Cricetulus griseus: one gene and its partner. The protein of the gene in region 2 interacts with the protein of the main gene of each other region in a pairwise test. Links are inferred from orthologs where the notes say so. Each region holds a gene or a part of one and is shown on either strand. Other genes may lie near its edges.

Region 1 (3,655 bases), on a different chromosome or scaffold from region 2:
GATGTGTTTAAACCAATGAATTCCCAGGTTGGCTCAGCTGCCAGTCAGCAAGCCGTTGTGATATACATTGGGAGGATTTGAAGAAGGAGGCTGGGTAATTGAGTCCAAGCTCCTCCCTTGCTGTGCGTGAACACAGGGACCCCTTTGTAATGTTTGTTTTGTTTTGTTGTTGTTTTTTAAACACTTAGAAAAGAGGAGCAAATCCCCAAAGCGCCAAGGTACCCCACATGCCTAGGGCGTTTCACTGCCTCACCTAATTGCCCCAAGGCTAGAGTCCTCACAGGTAGCATGTTCTTTTCTAACGGAAACTGGAATTGCTCTGTGGTAACTAACACACACTAACATTAGCGTTAGCTGGGCTGTGGCTCACACGGCATATGCGTGTGCATGCGTGTTACACGTGGGAAACGTCAGGACCAGAAAGGATACTCCAGGAAGGAGCATGACAGGAGAACGGGCTGGCCAGCATCTGTGAGCCAGAACCCGTTTTAATGGTGACCTGCTGGAGAGAGCAAGTCTGTGTTCCCGTTATCGTCCTGGCTACGATTGTAGCCTGACAGTCAGACTGTTGTAGACTGAGTACCTCCTCTTCCTGGGTATTTTAGAGTTTGAGAACTTATCTGCTGTGAATTTCTCTGGGTGCCCATGTGACATTGCACCTTGTCCTGACTGGAAAGAGTGGAACAGTTTACAAACTGAAGACTGAGGTGCTGGTGTCAATGCTCCTAGCGTCGGGACAGTCCCTGCTCATAGCCTCTCAGCCTGACCTGTTGGCATGCAGTGCCAGGTGACCCTGCATTGGAACATCCCATATCCTGCAGGTTGCTTAGCAGTGTCACTGGCTCTTGCCTCTCCTGGTGACAATTACAGGTGTCTCTGGACACCCCTCTGGGAGCAAGTCACCCCTGGGTAAAATAAAAAGGCAACTGAGCACCAACAGATTTGTGTTTGCCGTGAAAAGGGCCTTTTTCCTGGAAGTTCACCTCCGTTTCTGAGATCCATTCTGGCGTCCATTTCTGGCTGGCCCTGCTAACTCCTGTTGCTTTTTAGATGTGTGCTTGGGGTTCTGTGTTTATCGTCGTTCGTCTGTTAGCACAGGTCTAGTTGGTATTCTGGCCCCTTCCGTCACAGAGACACAATTCTCACAAGACACTCTTTTCTTTTCATCCTGAAGCTCCGAATCTCAGGATGGAGCCGGTGACAGCACTGGGTGTCCTCTCCCTTGTCCTCAACATCCTGTGCGCTGCCCTGAACCTTGTCCGTGGAGTCCACCTGGCAGAACACTCTTTACAGGTGACCCTCTGTACAGATTTTTTTTCTGGTGGTTGTGGGGATTGAACCCAGGACTTTATGAATGCCTCAGCATGCGCCTTTTACCCTGGAGCTGCGTCCCCAACCGGTCTTTACAGTCCAAAAGGAAAGACAAGTGACAGAAACTGATGATGGGACAGTTTTTATCAGGTCGATATGAGGTTAGGATTTTGTTGGTTAGTTTCTTGTTTTTTTTGTTTGTTTGTTTTGTTTTTTGTTTTGTTTTTGGCTTTTCAAGAGAGAGTTTCTTTGTGTAACAGCCCTGGCTGTTTTGGAACTCCATCTGTGGACCCCTCTGACCTTGAACTCACAGAGATCCGCCTGCCTCTGCATCACAAGTGCTGGGGTCAAAGGTGTGTACCACTACCACCACCTGGCACAGCTAGGTTTTATGAATGTTAAAAATTCAAATAGAACATTTTAGAAATTATAATCCATAAGCTGGATATGGTGATGCACCTCAGTAACCCCAGCCCTGGAGAGGTGGAGGCAGGGGGATCAGAGGTTCACACCCCAGATCAGCTGCATAAGAGCTCTGGGCCACCTTAGGGGAGAGTATAAAATGAAAGAATCTTCAAAACAAAAATCTGCTCTTTGTAGTAAGCTGAACACATCTGGAAAGATCCCTTTGTGACTGCCCTTGGGAGTTCTGGGATGTTGCTGGGAAGTAGGCAGCTTGCTGCAAGGACTTTGGGCTGCCGCTGTGCCCTTAGGAACCAAGGATCCATTGTCAACAGGACACAGGTTGGATTCTCACACTGTCAGGCTCTAAGAAAAGATGTTCCCACTGTGTGATGTGTGGCCCATAGGCACCTCTTCTCTTGCCAGAGACCCACATCCCCAGGGACAAAGCCAGCGTTCCGTTTCTTGGCCACCGATGGTGAAGCAACATTCTGTCTCTATGCTTTCTTCAAATATTCGATTCCAAGCAATAGAACTGTTATTAGCATAAGCAGGTAGTTGTTATTTTCAAGGATAGATCCATGAGTTTTTATAGATTTTTTTTTGTGTCACATTGCTTTGTTTGAACCCTTTTTGATCTTACTGGGCCTTTTGATTATATAGTATGGTTTCTGATTTTGTGTTTCTATGGATTTGGGGTTATTGTGTTTGCTGTACTTTTTCTTTTATTATTATTATTATTGCCTTTTTTAACAAGAGAAGAAAAGCGTGGAGTTGGTTCAGTGGGGAGTTCAGGGGGACCTGGGAGGGAGTGCAGGAGAGGAGGGGAAACCGTGACCATATGGATCACATGAACTGTCAATAACAAAGCAAAGCCGTCCTTCTCACTGCAGTGTTAGGTGTTGGCTAGAGACTAAATGGTGGTGGTTTGTGGGTGCTGAACCCAGGAGGGTGATGTGGACTGACCCCTTTGAGGAGTGGCCTCAGGCTCCTGTTAGAGCGGTACCTGTGAAAACCCTTAGGCCGGTGACCACATCTCATCTTCTAACAGTGTGTGGTGTGGATCAGGTACCTGCTGGCTATTTGTGGTAGAATCGGTGCCTGGCTGGCAAAGTGGCTAAGATAGGTCCTGCCGAGGGGTTCTGATGGCATTGTGCAGGGACAGCACTGAGGAGGTGATGGTTCCCGGGGCAGGAGTTTCTAGAAGAAGCTTAGCATTAACAGATGAGAAGGGTTCTTGGGGGTGAAGGAAAATTGCATGTTGAGGACGTAGCATGGAGGCCTGGGACAGAAGTACACACGGTCTATCTAACCATTGAAAATGGTCACATGCCAACCCTGGGTCTGGCTAGGCATCCTTGTACTGTCAGTCACACCGGTGACACAGGATAACAGACTCTGTGCCACCATGATTCCTTTCAGCCAAACCTTTCTTCTATGTACCCCTGTCTGTTTCAGGTTGCCCAGGAAGAAGTTGGGAACATCCTGGCCTTCTTTATTCCTTCTGTGGCCTGCATTGTCCAGGTGGGTGCAGCCCCTGACTGGCTGCTTGTGGGGACTGCAGGCAGGTGCCTGAGGGAATAGTGGCACCCAGCGTGGCTGTGACTCGGGAGAAATCACAGTAGGATTGGGAGGGCCTTTCTGCCTGATCTGCCCCTTATACTGCATCTCTCTCTTCTCTGCATCCCCAGTCTGGACGTCTGCTTGTGTGTCTCTAACACCCTTCCTCCGGTGACACCTGTTTCATTCTCTTAGAATCCGGTGATTACCAGCTGCTGGTCCCAGCTTTGCTGTAGCGAGTTCAGTTAGTAGGTGAATGCATACAGGTGTCAGTTAGTAAGTGAATGCATACAGGTGTCAGTTAACAGGTGAATGCATACAGGTGTCAGTTAGTAGGTAAATGCATACAGGTGTCAGTTAGTGGGTGAATGCATACAGGTGT
Region 2 (3,755 bases):
AATGAATCTTTGTTCCCCCTTCCACATCCTTTTCTCTTCCCCAATTCCTGTCCAGCATCTCCAGCATAAAGGAAAGTCAAGGGTGAACATCAACATGAGGTACTCAAGGCATGAGGCCTGAGAAGAACAGAAAGGAGAGCCCAACCTCACTTCATTTGCTACAGGATATGATTTGGACAAAGGCTATGAAAACTCGGGGGTGGCTTTGTTCACAACTGCCAAAATCACCCACTCCAAAGCACTATGATGCTTCCTCCAACTATACAACAGATGCTTACCTGCCTTCTCATGACTTCCATCTCCAGCCCATTGAGTTCTTCCAGGCCAATCTCTGCCACTAAATCTGCCTCCAGACTGTTGGAAGGAAAGGTTACATGGCTCAGAGGTGTTGGTGGCCATAGAAAAGACACAGAGCAATAAGGTATGCCTGAAGGCTTTTTGGATAAAGATCCCAGTCCTTCCCTTGTGTAGTAAAGAAGCCGGAGGCTTTGCCAAAGCATACGTAGATCCCAAATGGCCAGGAGGCAATAGTATCCCAATACTTCAAGTATATACATCTGCTTCTCGACTCGGATGCTCACTAGTCCCTATGGCCCTACCCTCTGCTTGTTCCTCCCCCAGTAGCTAGGAACAAGACAATTGAACTCTTACCGCTCATAAGGGACCCTCCCTGTTTGGAAGTTGCCAGGAAACTCCTGGAGATAGCCATCCACCTGACTGTGATCTCTTGGCATCCGGGGCATCTGCACCTGATGACCCTACAGAAAGAAAGGATACACCATTCCAAGTCACCCTTTTAGCACCGCATTGTGCATGAATCAACAGTACACCCCATAGGAGCCCCATGATGTCATTTCATCTTCCTGTGCCCCCCCCCACACACACACCATGCCTATTGGTAGCTTCTAGCCTTGTGTGCTGTGCCAAGGAAAATGCAGTGACAGGCTTCTCTGTCTTTTGGTAGAACTTTTACATGCAGGCATCCCTTGAAAACCCAAGCTACCTACTGAAGATGAATGTAAACCTTCAAGATGATTTTAAGTAATTTAAAAGAAAACATCATTTCACACCTTGGAAGTTTATAAAGAATTGTATAGTCATCCCTTGGTATCCATGGAGACTGTTTCTAGAATAAACGCCTCACTATGGTTATGCAGCTCTGCAGATTCCCAAGTTGCTTGTGTAAAAGGTCATAATATTAGAATATAGCATAATCATATCTTTTTATATAATTGAAATAATTACTATATTATTTATAATGTCTAATAAAATGTAAATGCCATCTAAGTAATTCTTATACTATATTGTGTAGATAATCATTGCAAGAAAAACATCTTGCATGTATTCTCTAGAGATGTAATCACTCCACCTCCACCCACAGACAGTGTCCATCTGTGATCGATTGAGCCAATGGATGCAAGACCTAGGAATGTAGAGGGTCAACTATAGATGCATTTTCCAGTCAACATGTTTGCTAGGCATGCAGACTTCTAGCATTGAAGTCCCAGCATTATACAGTACAACCCTAACCTTCCAATGATCTACCCTTCATTCATTTGCTTTATTGGTATATGGAAGCTTCCTCCTCCTAATGATCAACTTCTAGCTATATCTACCATGGGAATACAGGAGCCCCAAAGTAAGAACTTCCCACCCTAAACTAGCCACCATTTGTCAATACCCCTTTCTTGGGACGAGGTCCAGTCACATTCCAAAATGACTGGCCTGAACCAGATCCAGCAGGTTTTTGCTCTGCCCTTGGACGTCTTTGGATTCCTCCCAGTGACCGGGACCCACGTTCCATCATTTCTAGAAAGAAGAACAGAGACTGCTATGAATACTGCTTTAAAGGTTTTACCAGAACTTTCTGGGTACTGAAAACAGCAGAAATCACTCAATACCCATTCACTTCTGATGCTCAGCCTATTTGTCCATCTGTTCAACAGGTCAGTATGTATTTACTGAAAATCTGGCCCTGGGCCTAGGATTCTGTAGCATGAGCAATGATCAAGAGATGAAATCCCAAACACAAACCATCTCTATGTATGAGAGAATAGGAAATACCAATAATAAAATCTTCCATCCATGTAAATTCAGATATGTAAATGGTTCATGAATGATTAAAAACCAAAACAAGCTAATATGGCAAAAGAAAAGCATAAATCAACACTGAAATACCTAAAACAAACGAATAACCTTCCAGACTAAGTAAACAGCATGCACAATGACTGGGATGTTGTAGAAGCAGCACAAGTAAACGCACATGATTAACTATACCCAACAGGCTTTTTAGGGGATTCTCACCTGACATCACTGGTTGTTCTTGGCTTTGGTCAAAGTTTCCAGTCCCTAGATCTTCAGAAATGGACATTTTATACCCTTCTTTGACATTGGAAGGGCTTTCTGCCATCACCACCAGGTATTCATTTGTAAGGTTGTTCAGGGTGGATGGCACAGAGAAGACACTTGGAAGCTCGCCTCTTCCAGGGGTAGAAATGTGAGGGAGATATACTGGCACAAGAGGGTGGAGCCAGTTCTCCCTCTCTGTGCTCAGGCCTTGGATTGGCACCTTGAGTTCCCACTGTATCTTGTTGGTGGGTCTCGTGGCCGCCTTCTCTTCTGCTGTGTAAGCAACTTGGAGATGAGATAGTGCTCTAAGTGGTACTGTTTTTGTGAGCTGCCCTGATTCATCTCCCCTTGATTTTGCTACTCACGGGTAGGAGGATCCCATCCTCCATCATGGTCTAGAAAGAGACAAGGGCTGGCATACGGCCCAAGCATCCATAAGTGCCCAAAGCAGTGACAGGTCCCATGCTTATCATGGTTTCTACAAGCCCATGACTGGCCAGTAATCTAGGGTACAGCACTCTATCAGAGGAGCTTCTCTGTACAGAACATCCTGCCTCCTCCAATGCAGAGTCTTCAAGCAAAGTAGATGGCCTTGTCTGATATGAATCCTGGGAAGGAAGCAGGGAGGGGCAAGAGGGACATGCTGGGCTTGTGTACCCTGCTGTATGTTTCAGCTCTGCCTCAGTTTTTCTACAGATTAGACCAGATGTATGTGTCAATTTAGTCAGGTTCTGATCCCCAGTGAGTTTATCAGACACTCAACTCTCAGTATTTCTGCAAAGGTATACTGCAGCTGTGATTATTATCCCTAATGGACTTTAAATAAAATGGCTTCCTCCCAGTCAGGTGCTTGTACTCAACCAATGTGCTGAAAGAATCAAGTGCAAACCTTAAGGAATGGGTCAGTGAGTGGGATGACCCCATGCCCCAAGGTTCCCAGAGAATGAGGGAAACCTGCCACCACAGCCTGCCCTGTCAGGGTGCTGAGAGGCATTGGAACAGCTTCCATAGGCTCACGCCGTCCCGGCGCTCTTGGGCCTTGGACTCAGCACTCCCAAGATGATACAGACAGATCCAGATAAAGAAAAACCTCTAAAGGTTTACACTGCATTTAAAAATATATGTAGGCTTGTGAGAGAAAAAATAACAGGAGGAAATAGAGTAGCTGGGTGTGGTGGCTCACGCCGGTAGGATTTGCTGAAGGAAGCAGAGGCAGGCAGATTTCCACAGAGAAACCCTGTCTCAGAAAAAATAAACGAAAGATAGTAAAAATAAAGTAATAAAAAAGCCACATAAAGACGGAAAATACACAGAGAATCTGGATACTATATGCCATATTGTTCTCTTTAAATTGTTTGATTGCCAAGGAAAGACTTACTGCTGCTAAAATACATTTGATTATAAAT

Evidence for each region.
Region 1: the proteins of Fate1 (region 2) and Sec22c interact in binary tests that used the Homo sapiens proteins (3 or more experiments, as listed by UniProt). The two-hybrid records come from large-scale screens. The link is inferred for Cricetulus griseus from reciprocal best matches to the Homo sapiens genes FATE1 and SEC22C.

What each region holds. Positions count from the first base shown.
Region 1 is NC_048597.1:228,685,384-228,689,038, reverse strand, and holds part of Sec22c (vesicle-trafficking protein SEC22c), read left to right. Parts: intron 1-1,174; coding exon 1,175-1,293; intron 1,294-3,171; coding exon 3,172-3,237; intron 3,238-3,655. UniProt on the Homo sapiens protein: May be involved in vesicle transport between the ER and the Golgi complex.
Region 2 is NC_048604.1:3,691,279-3,695,033, forward strand, and holds the start of Fate1 (fetal and adult testis-expressed transcript protein), read right to left. Parts: upstream 2,411-3,755; coding exon 2,305-2,410; intron 1,810-2,304; coding exon 1,682-1,809; intron 759-1,681; coding exon 652-758; intron 355-651; coding exon 279-354; intron 1-278. UniProt on the Homo sapiens protein: Involved in the regulation of endoplasmic reticulum (ER)-mitochondria coupling. Negatively regulates the ER-mitochondria distance and Ca(2+) transfer from ER to mitochondria possibly implicating it in the regulation of apoptosis.